Linked DNA regions of Caenorhabditis elegans. The protein of the gene in region 3 purifies or fractionates together with the protein of the main gene of each other region. This does not show direct contact. Each region holds a gene or a part of one and is shown on either strand. Other genes may lie near its edges. The genes, in order: rfgp-2, eif-2A and ufm-1.

Region 1 (4,372 bases), on a different chromosome or scaffold from region 3:
CTTGCATGGTAAACAAACGTGTTTTTTGGTCAAGTTTATCCTTGTTTGCGTTCTCGCGACGAAAATAAGAAAATGAGCAGCTGAGAGGGTGACTTGTTTTGGTCAGGGCTCAATGCAAAGCGAATTTTCAAGTTATAGAAATTTTTTTAAATTTCCCTGAGTTAGATGCTAGTCATGACAATTTTCAACAAAAAAAAATTGAAACGCTCTTAAGGAATTTAGAAGAAAAATATAATTGTTAAAACAAAACGAAATTCGAAAAAATGAAAATAAACTACGACACTCCGTTATTCCGGATGTGTGTGTTGTTTACAGTAAATCTACACAGCTTGCAATTACGATTTTCTCAATTTGAAGGTTTTTTTTTGAATGGAAGTTAACTTAAGTTTGTGCCCAACAAAACTGATATATGAAACATTCACAACGACAAAAGAAATTGAAAAACCCAATGACACACAACATTCAATAAAATAAAGTAAAAAAGTTTTGAAAGACCCGAAATTCAGTGAGAATACAAAAACCCATAGGTTGAAAAATAAAAGATAAAGACAAAACTAAAAGAAAACAACATTAAAAACCAATTTTACGGATGGGATAAACTCGCCGTTAAAAGCCAGGAATTTATGTTTTTTCTCCAGTTGCTGGAGGAGCACGCTGAATTGTGGATTATAAACTTATTTTAATTTTTAAACTGTCTTATATTTTTTCAATACCTCCAGAAAACTTTGGAATAAAAATTTACTTACCGACATGTAAGTAGAGAATGAACTCGACAGCGTTGACCATTTCTCAGCGACCTTTGAAGCTCCGGCACGGAAAGAATCTTTCAAATCAGACATATCAGGAACCTGAAAATTAGATTTAGAATATTTTAATTTCGATGACAGCTTCGAGCTTACTTGACTAGATTGACGTTGCTGGCTTCCGTTACCCCACAAATCTTCGGATCCAAATGAAGTCTGTCCTTCACACTTGGTCAATGCACTTCTTGTTTCACACTGAAAATATATAAAATTGTAAATTTAAAAATATTACCAATAATATAAAAACATACATCCATTTCAGGCGTTCCAAAGTACATATCACTTGAGATAGCTTTAGCATTTCCGAATTTCTTCTGAAGATCAACATCCGAAATTGGAGATGCTCCAGCAGTCAGGCGAGTCGTTGGTGCACGGGATGTTGACGAAGAGGAAGAAGATGCGGTATAGCGGGATTTTCTGGAAAAAAGTCGTAAAGTCGTGTTTTAAATTAATTTTATATAATTTCACTTACTGCACAGGTTGCGTCTCAAATGAGTCAAAGAAATCATCTTCCTTTGTTGTTTTCTTGCTACTACTCGAAGTATAGTCTTTTGAGAAGAAATCATCCTCGTTGTTCGTACTTTTCTTTCCGTACTTATCATCAATAACCTCCCAATCGTCATCTTCTTTTGGCTGTGAAGGTTTCTTGAACGTAAGAACATCATCCTGTTTAATAGATCGAATACCACCAGCGACTGAATGAGCGGCACGGGATCTACCGACACCTCCCATTCCGAGACGATCGACTGAAGCGGCTTTTGTAGGATCTTTTGCAACCTTTGCCTGAAAAATATTAACTTTAAAAACCAATGTCATTTGTTTGAAATCCTACCTCCATTTGCTTTCTTTGAGCATCAATATCTTGCATGGCAAATTTGGCACTGAGCTTTTGCAATGCAGCGGCATCATCGGATTTTTTCTTACCATCAAGCTCTGTTTGATAAGCAAGCTTGTTCGCAGCAACTTCGGCGGCCGTCTGTCTCTCTTTTTCAGCAGCTCTTTGCTCAATTTCATCAAAATTAATCCGCACTTTTTGAGCTCCGAGAGCATTTTTCTTGGCGCCGAGAGTGGCTTTCTTGATTGGTTTTTTAAGAATCACGGAAACTGGAGCAGAGGTAGGAACAGCGACGGAAGAGTCGAGATGATCAACGCTTGGACCGTGAGTAGAGTCTTCAGATTTGTGATCAGCAATATATGCATCAGAAGACAAGGAAGTAGCAGATGCAGAAGTGTGACCGAAATCTTGAGCGAAGAAATCTTCTTCCTCCTGAAATAAATAAATAAAGACGAGTATGAAAACAGTCAAACTCACAGCTGGCTTTTCCTCTGCATGAGTTACTGTATCAATAATCAATTGAGTCCCGAATTTTCGCTGGGCTTCCTGGCACAGGGTTGAGAGCTTATCTCTATACATCTGAGCCGCTCGACTTTTGTATTTTTGTTGAGCTTCAGTGGTATTGCAGCCATGCGCTTTGAAGAATTGATTCTGCAAAAAAAATGAATTCAACAGTTGTGTTTCATATCGAATAAACTAACCGCATTTCCATTTCCTCCGAGTTGCATGGCTCTCAACTGAAGCCAAGTCCAATTTGTATCCAAATTGGTGGAACGGACGAACGTGAGGTGAACACCGAGGTTACGATGAACAGCAGAACAATCAATACAGAGAAATACACCTGAAAAATGTTTAATGAGTGATTAGAATTATTTGAAATACGAACCATATGTGACAGTGCACCAGGTGGGGTTCCTCGCACCACAGTCGAAGCAGAGCTGAAAAAATACGTTTTTGTTTTTTATTTATTTTCAAGATAATATATATTTAGATTTTTCAATCAACAGCAAAATGAAAATCTTACTTTGTTCGGTGGGAGAGCTCTCATTTTTCTCATTGCTGTCTGCAAATCAACTTTGGAAGGCCCATTTTCGTCGGACATTTTGCCTGAAAAATGAAATCAATAACTTGGGTACACATGTTTGCAAAGATTGGGGGAAAAGCTGTCAAATGGCTGTACGCGAACATAAAATCAATGAAAAGAAACCGGTTTCTGCCAAATTAGAGAAAAAAATCGGCGTTCAACGCTTAGTGGATCAGGAAGTTGTTGCACTGATAAGAGATGATGGTCAATGATTTCTACATAAGAATTGGTGAAAAAATTAACTGAAAACTATCGATTAAGCCATTTTCAACGTTGGTTTGTAGTCTTTCAGTTGCGCCGGCTTCACATAATTTTAGCGAGTTACACGTCGAAAGTACGCAAACACCGCGCTGCGGACTTTGCACGGAATTTCACGAGCATTTCGAGGAAATGAATTAATTTATTTCAGAAAGAAAGTTTCTCTATTTAAGTGAAACACAGGTGTCTATAACAGCTAGTGATTGTAGATGACCATACATTTTAAAGCATAATTTTGAAACTAAAGTTATAAATGCCTCACTTTCTGATTAGTCCACAATGCTCTGCTTAAAATGTGAAATAACATTATAAATATTATACTTCGACCTTTGGTTGAAACGTGAAACGACCAGACCGACTGTGGACGGAAAAATTACCTCAAAAAATGTATTTTCAAAAAATATGGTAGTTACACCACGTAAACGTGCATCAAAATCAGTGGATAAATCAGTTGGTCACTCTCTCGAAGAAACCGAATTGGAAGATGTTGAAGATGAGGTAAACCATTATTCGAGAAGCAATTGAATAAAAGAACCTATGCCTTTATTGAAGCAAAGTGCAATTTAAGAGTGAGCTCAAATAACATGTTTCTGAGAGTAATTGATTTCTTCCAGCTACATCTTCGTTGGTATTCAGTTGGTCTCATATTTTTCAGCTTCATTCCCATATACTACTCGATAATGTTAGTAGCTTATTTGAGCCTAAAAGCCTAATCAGTTTGATCAAATTTGAGAGTTTGTCAGCCTCAGCAATTCAAGATCGATGGATTTGAGCTTATAAATCCGGTATTCAATAAACACCATTCGACGAGATCATGCACAAGTGCCACTAAATCACTACAGAATGTGAGAGATTTTCCGAATGGAATTGCAAATAAATTTTAAAAATTTCAGGGTTTAATTGCACTTTTCATATTTTACGCATTGAAAATCTACAAAAAAGTCTATCTTATCGTGCTTTATATAATTCTTATCATCCATTTTGGCTTTGAAATAAGGAATGCGAAATCGGAAACTTCTAGGAAATATATAGGTGAGCATCTAGCTTCATTATGCCTAGGCAGGCTTACTTTATTGTTGCCAAAAGATATGTGGGAGGTACCGGTTGTTGAAATAATGCTACGTTTTCAGCAATTTCTACCCGTGAAATGTTCATGTATTATGTTGAATTGCTCCTACTCTATTTTCAAAATCTGCTGCTCCTTCCTTACATCTGTGGTGGTTATTTCTTAATCAGGTATACTTAGATTCACACAAAACTTTCGAAATAAGACTACATTTCCAGACATGTGCATCGAATCCCATCAAAAGAAGAAGTCGATCGTCAAACTCTGAAATTCAAGGAAGAAGCTCGACGCATTAAACGACTAATGATAGAAGAAGATTGGCATGT
Region 2 (4,603 bases), on a different chromosome or scaffold from region 3:
GGGCGTTCTCCATTGACCGTGGAGCGCGCTAATATGTCGATCAGTTTTTTTCTGCGGTCCTATAATAATATTTATGTGAAACCAAGAGCTGGCGCTTTGAACTTCTACATATTCGATGTTAAAACATGTCAACTTCTTCTAGAAGCACATTTGAGCTCACTGGAGCTCATTTCTTTTCCAAAATTAATTATTTTTGTTCCAGATCATCCCGAAGTAAGCGATCACAGCTTCGAAATGCAATTTACACGATGTTGGCTATTGTCACTTCATATTTGGTTTGTAATGGCGTTCATCTTTTTCTGACGATCCTTGAGAGGTTCGATCCATCTTATCTTTACGAATCCACGGATCGAATGCAGTCGAGCACATTTTATATCGGTTAGTTTTTAAAAACTTCTATTATAATAATAAAATACTTTTCCATTTCAGTTTTGTCTGATACTGTCTCCATCTGCTATATGGCATCCTCGGCAATTCGTATTTTCATCTACGCCAAGTGTAATCCAAAGTTGCGACAGGAGATCACCGACTACATCAAACGAGAGAAGAGCATCGAGACGAACAGCTCGTAACTTCCTTCATTTCATCACTTTTTTGTTACTCTTATTACGGGAGTTCATATTATGACAATAATAATTAAAGAAATAAACAATCATAATAAGAGATTGGGGAGAGAAAAAGATAGGCTAAAAGAATATGGAAGACAATTGATAAATAGATATTCAAAACAACTGGGGAAAAATTTCAGGTTTCACTCGAATGTATAAAGTCTAAAACTCATAGGAAACAGGTGAGTCAATCGGGAGAAAAGAGAAACAAAAAAATGATAATCGAGGGAAAAACACAGAAAAAAAGAACACAATTTTAAATGGTCAGTTTGGAGAGCTCTGAGAGATATTCGTTTTCACGTTGGATCTTCTCCATTTGGTTTGGTTGAAGTTGATCGCCATTCGCCACTCGTTGCTGGAAATTATTTGTTTGAAAATATTTTTGAAACTTCGCACAACTCACCTTGAGAACTTTAATCTCCTCAACCTTCTTTTTGAGTTGGAATGCTTTCCTTTCTTGTTCCGATTGCTGTGGTCGGAATGGTTGTGGAGCATTTCCGTTTCCATTAGCACGTGGCTGTGCAGGCCGTTGATTCTGGTTTCCTGGCGTAGGTGCTGCAGCTGATGGTGGTCCAGCTGATCCTCCACCTCCTAGCGGTTTCCTGAGATGAGGTGGAATGTAGGCACCAGCCTGACGAACTGCTCCTGCTGGAACATTATTCAGTGGATGAGATGCATCCTTCTTTCGAATTGGCAAGCCAGCGGCCATTTTGTCCGTCTTGGTTAGCTCTTTGATGGCAAACTTGTTGTATCCAGTCATTGGACGCCAGCGAACTTCCCACAGCTCTTTTGGAGACTCGAAGTGAGTTTCAGCAAGCATTCGACCCGTGTAATGCCAGAAGCGGTAACTGTTATCTATACGAAGCCTTGGAGCAGTGGTGCATGTAACAAAATGTTGACCATCTGGAGCCCAATCGAAAAGAGTTGTATTTGGCACCTCGATCGAAATAATCTCCTTTTTCGTCTCCACATCCCAAAACTCCATTTTTCCCTTCGCGATATTTCCAAATCCACAAATCAGAACAATATTTCCAAATGCATTATAGAAAACATCGTTTCGTGGACCTTCAATCGTGTCGAAAATTGGAACTCCTCTCGGATTATAGAATGTCACTTTGGCTGGCATATAACCATAGCAAACAGCGAATTCTCGGCCGTTGGGATTCCACTTTGCAGCGTAAATTGGACCTTTCTTCTCCAAAGGAACAACTACAGACTCTCCTGATTGAATGTTGATAAGGTATAGCTGAAATTAATTAAATAATTATTGGGGAGATTTGAGAAAATTTTAAAACGAACACTTTGCTCTCCATAATAAGATTGATTTGTCTTATCCACTTCAACAGAAGCAAGAATGAGAAGTGATTGACCACGCTGATTCCATGTCATTACGGCTTTGTCAGATTTGAAGAACGTACGATTGCCGACGACTGGGAACGATTCGGAGACTCGATGAACTCGCACGCGAGCTGGAGTGGATCCAACGGCAGGGACATAGACAGCCACGTGATTCGGAGCAGGACCTGGACTCAATGCGAAGTTGGTCGCACCCTTCTCGACAAGCTTGTGGTCGTAACGGTCTGAAAAGATAAGTTTTATGATAACGGTCGTAATAATAATATCAATTTTCAGAAAATTCATGAAATTCATACCGAAAGACATGTTTGTATAAAAGAAGACTTCACTGCCAACCATTCTTGCAGCCAACGACTCATCATCCGAAAACTGAGGCTCCCACGATGCTTCTTTTGGAGCTGAGAACGTTGATACGTGCTTTCCATCCGCAAGACTGTAGACTCGCACATTTGGTTCTGGCTTTTGGTTCTCTGCAGTCTAAAGTTGAAAAAAAGGTTTTCAAACTGAATTAAATAAAAAATTATTCAAACCTTTGGTCCGTAAACTGCCCATGGCTCGAATGTGAGCAGGAAATTGTCTTTTGGTGAGAACAAGATCTTCCGAGTTCTTTTCAGCTCCACACAAAGAATCTCCTTGTTTGTTGCGATCTCGAATACCCGTGTTCTAAAAAAAAAACATTATTTAACTATATATTCCTCTCCTGAAACTTCTTCTTACACTTGATTATCGCAATAGGCGAACAGCTGTCCGTTGTTGCTGTAAGCGAACACATTGCAAGCGACGTCTCTCGAGGTTCTAAAAAATACATTTAATTATTGATTCCTGATAATTGTTCTGAATTACGTACTTATTCTGCTCAAAAACTGTCACCGCGTCTTTGCCCAGCCCGCGCTTCAGGTAGAAGCCTTCACTTGATCGAACTGAAACAAATTTCGCAATTTTACGGCCTATTCAAAGCTGTCTAAAGTAAACTCACCGGCGTACACCAGGTTATCACCCATTTTATTGATCTGAATCAATGTTTGAGAAAGTCTGAAAAAAGAAAATGTCTTAAATTTCTCAGGAAGTAGGAGAAAATTAGAAAAGCTCGAGGAAATGACGAAAAAATTCGAATCACGAGATGGCGTCGTATTTGGCGCCGGCATACATTTGGAAATGCAGAATTTCGCGCACCGTATCCAGAATAAATTATTCTAGCGGGAAAAGATTAAATAAAATTGAATATTGGGAGAAACAGTTAAAAAAAAAAGAAATATTCCTCGAAAAATAAAAAATAATTCGATTTTTTAATTCGATGCAGTTTTAGTGCATCGTTTGCGTCACGGTGTTTGCACACAAAGTACAGTAGGCAGAAATAGTTTACAAACTTGCAAAGACTTTGTTTAATCGATTAATTGCATAATATTAAATTGCAGAGTTAAATTTAAATTTAAACTAAAGCTACACAATATATAAATATTTCCGGAATTTCGTCGTATTTCGATCGACAAAAATCTGAGTATTTATGGAAGCCACTGTCTTTTCTCCAAATATTTCGAATTTCATTGCTACGCTGAATGAAAATAAGAAATTGAATAGAGACAACGCGTAGGCGGAATTGAAATTGGTCTCTTGAAAATTTATTTCGAGAAGTTATTTTCAAGGATGAAAAAAACAATATTACCCAGGCACTGAATTTGGCTTTTTTCGCCAAAAAAAACACGGTACCCGGTCTCGAAGCGACAATTTTTTTAATGCAAAAGGGTGTGCGTCTTTAAAGAGTACTGTAATTTCAAAAACAAATTTTGCTGTGGAATTTTCATCGATTTTTTAACATTTATGTGTTTTTGAATTATAAAAAAGTTTTTTTGTAAATAATTAAATGTATTTACAACGAAAAACTATAAAAAATCGAGGAGAATTCTAGAGTAACGAAAGTTTGTAATTATAGTACTCTTTTGAGGTCATAATCGGAAAGTAGACCCCTTTTAATTCAAAAAAACTCGAATATAACATTATCGAGCGTTAGAAAATACGGTCCCCGGTCTTGCCACGCGCTCTCTTGGTAAAATACAAACGGATCTGCGCCTTTAAAGAGTACTGTAATTTAAAATTTTTGTTGCTGCGGATTTTTCATCGATTTTTCATAGTTTCTCGTTAAAAAATTTTCATAGAAATTTATAAAAAACTAATTTCAAACAAATTAATTGTTACAAATCGCAAGAAAAACTACGGAAAATTAATTAAAATTTGGATTTTCGTGGTATTTCGAGACACGATAGATTGTTATATTTGCAACGAAATAGTAGATGTGCCATATTGAGAAGCATCCGATTTACGGTAATTCTGCTTTTTCTGAAAATATATGTGCTTCTTTGTAAGCGTTCCCTCGCCAACGGCAGAATTGAATTCTTACTGCTCACCTACTCATTTTCAGTTTACTCTTTACCAAGTCTTTCTAAAAGTATAAGACCATGATCCTTTTCTAATCTTATACTAAGTCAGTACCGGCTTACCTACTTCTTCCGAAACTTCCGTATTTTTCAAGTCTCAAAACCTCGAAAAACTGTTCAAAAAATTCGTTACTTGCTCATCCCAGGTGTTTAATCTATGATAACAACACGTGGATTATCGTAAGAGTACAGTCTCTCATCTGAGTG
Region 3 (3,060 bases):
GATCTGAAATATGAATTCTTAAATCTTTGAATTGAAAGCATAGGTGTTTTTGGTAAAACTTAAACTTTTGACAAATAAATTAAAAAATAATTGGCAGCGTCTCGCATGCAATTGTTCTATTTACACAACGAGAAACTTGTAAAGAAAATGCGGTATCTATATAAATGTTTGAATCTTGTGTATTATGGGACGCATTTTTTATTTATTACGCTCTCTCGGAGACGTGATTTTAAAACTAAATGTTTCTTTTTCTAGTTTTTACCTGTCCATTTGGCATTGGCTCAGCGCCTTTCTTAAATCCAAGGTAGACCACAAACGGCACGAATCCCCATTGGATTGCAAATGTGGAAATATCGACTGTCTTACCGATGAAAGACTTGGTAGCTGGGGAGAGCTTCATCTTAAATAAAATAATATAAGACTAAAAGTAAAGTAGTTTTAAAAAAGTAAGATAAAATGCGGAAGAGCAACCAGTATTGATAAATTGATTGAACAAGTTTGAGAAAAAAGCTTCATAGCGTACTTTGGAAAGGGGAATTTCAATAAATTAATATTTAGAAGAATTTAGATATTCAAATCTGACTTAGCGAGTTTAGGATAGAAATGCACAGAGACATCACATTTTGTAAAAATAATTATGTCATAATACAGGAATGTAGACAACAATTGGCTTATGCTCAATGGCCGACGCGATCACGTGGAATCAGACGAAGTTCACTTCCGTGCTTCAAAAAAATGTTTCCGGCAGGTTGAGCTGGATTGACGCCAACTCCGTCGTTCGTAATGATTGCTGATGTAGCCGCAGGGACCTTGAATTCTTCAGCGGCAAACTTGAGAACGGCGGTGAATGGGGTACTTTCCGGCACGGAGAGGCTGAAAAATTAATGCATGACGCAAAACTCCAAATCAAAAGTAAACCGAAAATTTAAATATAAAAACTTACACCTTGAATGGGAGCTTCGGATCACTTGTTAGAGTGATTTTGAAGGTCACCTTGGAACCGGCAGTTGTTGCTGCTGTTCCACCCGACATTCCTGAAAATCTCTCGCATAAAATCAATAATAATCGTCCAGTTTGTTTGAAAAATTGTTTTTTAAAAAGTCGAACAAATTGATAAAGAAAAGGACATAACAGAAATGCACAAAATAACCTGAAAAACTGAAAAACAATAGGAGAGAAAAACTGGAAAAATGCCAAGTGTCTCTTACAAAACTCGGCCACTTGACGGAACCTAGGCCAGTGATGGCGTGATCAAGAACTATAATATAATTCAATTATTTTTCATATGTTAAAGTTCGAGTGAAATTTAAATGAAGATTGTAGTTCGAACGCTAGTATTTAGTGTACAAATACCACAAAAACGAGAAATACGTCTCTTCAAAATTCATTATGGAGTGATGGCCTAGGAATCTCCACGGGAAAATGCGGTAGAATATTTCTTGCAAGAACTTTCAGAGTATCGTGATTTTTATCACTTAATTTATCATTCAACTTCGCAATTAAGTTCTCAAAATTTTCTCATCTTTTGTCCGAATTAAAACTCATTTATTTTCAGAATGAAAGGAGCAACAAACTTATTTAAAAGCATGAGAAAACCTACGAACGTTGGAAATTTCCGGCAGTTTTCGGTGAATCAAGTCAATTCAGATAATAAACGGTCAGAGCCCGGAAAGAAAACACATTTTGGATTCACTGACGTTGATGAGGCAGAGAAGGAGCAGAAAGGTTAGCTGTTCGATTCAGAAACGTAAAAAAGCTGATAGCCACAAATAATAATCACAAAGTTCTCTACATAAAATAAGCCCTTTTCCAACACATCTATATAATTTACTGATACTATATGTCTTTTTTTAGTTCACCACGTCTTCGCAAACGTCGCGAAAAAGTACGATTTGATGAATGATGCAATGAGCATGGGAGTTCACCGATTATGGAAAGACTATTATGTTGGTGGCCTGCAAGTACCGTATAATGCGAAATGTCTGGATATGGCAGGAGGAACCGGGGATATCGCTTTCAGAATTCTCAGACATTCGCCTACCGCAAAAGTGACAGTTTCCGATATTAATCAACCAATGCTCGATGTTGGAAAAAAACGAGCGGAGAAGGAGAGAGATGTAATTGTTTTTGAAAAAATTCCATATCCTTAATGTATTACTTCAGATCCAACCATCTCGCGCGGAATGGGTATGCGCTAACGCCGAGCAAATGCCATTTGAGTCGAACACTTACGATCTGTTCACAATGTCCTTCGGAATCAGAAATTGTACACACCCTGAAAAGGTTGTTCGTGAAGCTTTTCGTGTACTCAAACCTGGAGGTCAACTTGCTATTTTGGAGTTCTCAGAAGTGAATTCTGCACTGAAACCAATTTACGATGCATACTCCTTCAATGTGATCCCGGTTCTTGGAGAAATTCTTGCCAGTGATCGTGCCAGTTATCAATATTTGGTTGAGAGTATTCGTAAATTCCCGAATCAAGACGAGTTTGCAAGAATAATTAGAGAAGAAGGCTTTAGTAATGTTCGATACGAGAATTTGACATTTGGAGTGTGCTCGATTCATAAGGGGATGAAACCAAGAAAATAATTTATTCCTGTTTGTTTGTTCTTTTTAAAATTTCATTTAATTCCATTTTTCTAGGTGATATTCAGTATTTTTCGTGTAGAATTTTTGCATAAATTTAATTAAAGTTGTTATATTTGTATTTCCTGACATCTATGATTCCGTGGTTTATTCCCGTTGTTACTCAAAAAATCTGAAAAAATTCATGTTTATTCCAACAATTTCAGATATGAAACTTCGAAGTGCTATTCAGCACAGTGTAAGAAACTTTTCCGCTGGGAAAGTCTTACTGTCAAGGTAATTTATAGATGATTTCAGACTCGATAATCATCATTTTTAAGATTCAGAAGCGCCACAACGCCAATATTGAAAGAAATTGGACTTCTCTTGCCATCAACTAATAAACCAACATTTGAAGCTGGACAAGTTGGTTGACTCAATCCAGTTATTTTGCAAAAATATTAAATTGCAGATTTTCATTCACAAAACATTTGC

Evidence for each region.
Region 1: the proteins of ufm-1 (region 3) and rfgp-2 fractionate together in Caenorhabditis elegans (co-fractionation; one large-scale study listed by BioGRID). This does not show direct contact.
Region 2: the proteins of ufm-1 (region 3) and eif-2A fractionate together in Caenorhabditis elegans (co-fractionation; one large-scale study listed by BioGRID). This does not show direct contact.

Annotation. Positions count from the first base shown.
Region 1 is NC_003280.10:5,426,828-5,431,199, forward strand, and holds rfgp-2 (ARF GTPase activating Protein), read right to left. Parts: upstream 2,746-4,372; 5' UTR 2,741-2,745; coding exon 2,663-2,740; intron 2,577-2,662; coding exon 2,525-2,576; intron 2,480-2,524; coding exon 2,340-2,479; intron 2,290-2,339; coding exon 2,116-2,289; intron 2,071-2,115; coding exon 1,636-2,070; intron 1,587-1,635; coding exon 1,276-1,586; intron 1,221-1,275; coding exon 1,055-1,220; intron 999-1,054; coding exon 900-998; intron 849-899; coding exon 747-848; intron 655-746; coding exon 622-654; downstream 1-621. UniProt on the Caenorhabditis elegans protein: GTPase-activating protein for the ADP ribosylation factor family.
Region 2 is NC_003280.10:10,415,199-10,419,801, reverse strand, and holds eif-2A (Eukaryotic translation initiation factor 2A), read right to left. Parts: upstream 2,997-4,603; 5' UTR 2,966-2,996; coding exon 2,941-2,965; intron 2,885-2,940; coding exon 2,812-2,884; intron 2,760-2,811; coding exon 2,682-2,759; intron 2,628-2,681; coding exon 2,495-2,627; intron 2,442-2,494; coding exon 2,261-2,441; intron 2,189-2,260; coding exon 1,908-2,188; intron 1,855-1,907; coding exon 1,012-1,854; intron 964-1,011; coding exon 865-963; 3' UTR 573-864; downstream 1-572. Other genes in the region: frpr-21 (G-protein coupled receptors family 1 profile domain-containing protein), read left to right, coding at 203-378, 430-572. UniProt on the Caenorhabditis elegans protein: Functions in the early steps of protein synthesis of a small number of specific mRNAs. Acts by directing the binding of methionyl-tRNAi to 40S ribosomal subunits.
Region 3 is NC_003281.10:7,856,953-7,860,012, reverse strand, and holds ufm-1 (Ubiquitin-fold modifier 1), read right to left. Parts: upstream 1,035-3,060; 5' UTR 1,033-1,034; coding exon 944-1,032; intron 874-943; coding exon 678-873; 3' UTR 501-677; downstream 1-500. Other genes in the region: tomm-7 (Mitochondrial import receptor subunit TOM7 homolog), read right to left, coding at 1-3, 263-400; coq-5 (2-methoxy-6-polyprenyl-1,4-benzoquinol methylase, mitochondrial), read left to right, coding at 1,557-1,725, 1,855-2,117, 2,164-2,589; tag-307 (ApaG domain-containing protein), read left to right, coding at 2,771-2,862, 2,907-2,991, 3,038-3,060. UniProt on the Caenorhabditis elegans protein: Ubiquitin-like modifier which can be covalently attached via an isopeptide bond to substrate proteins as a monomer or a lysine-linked polymer.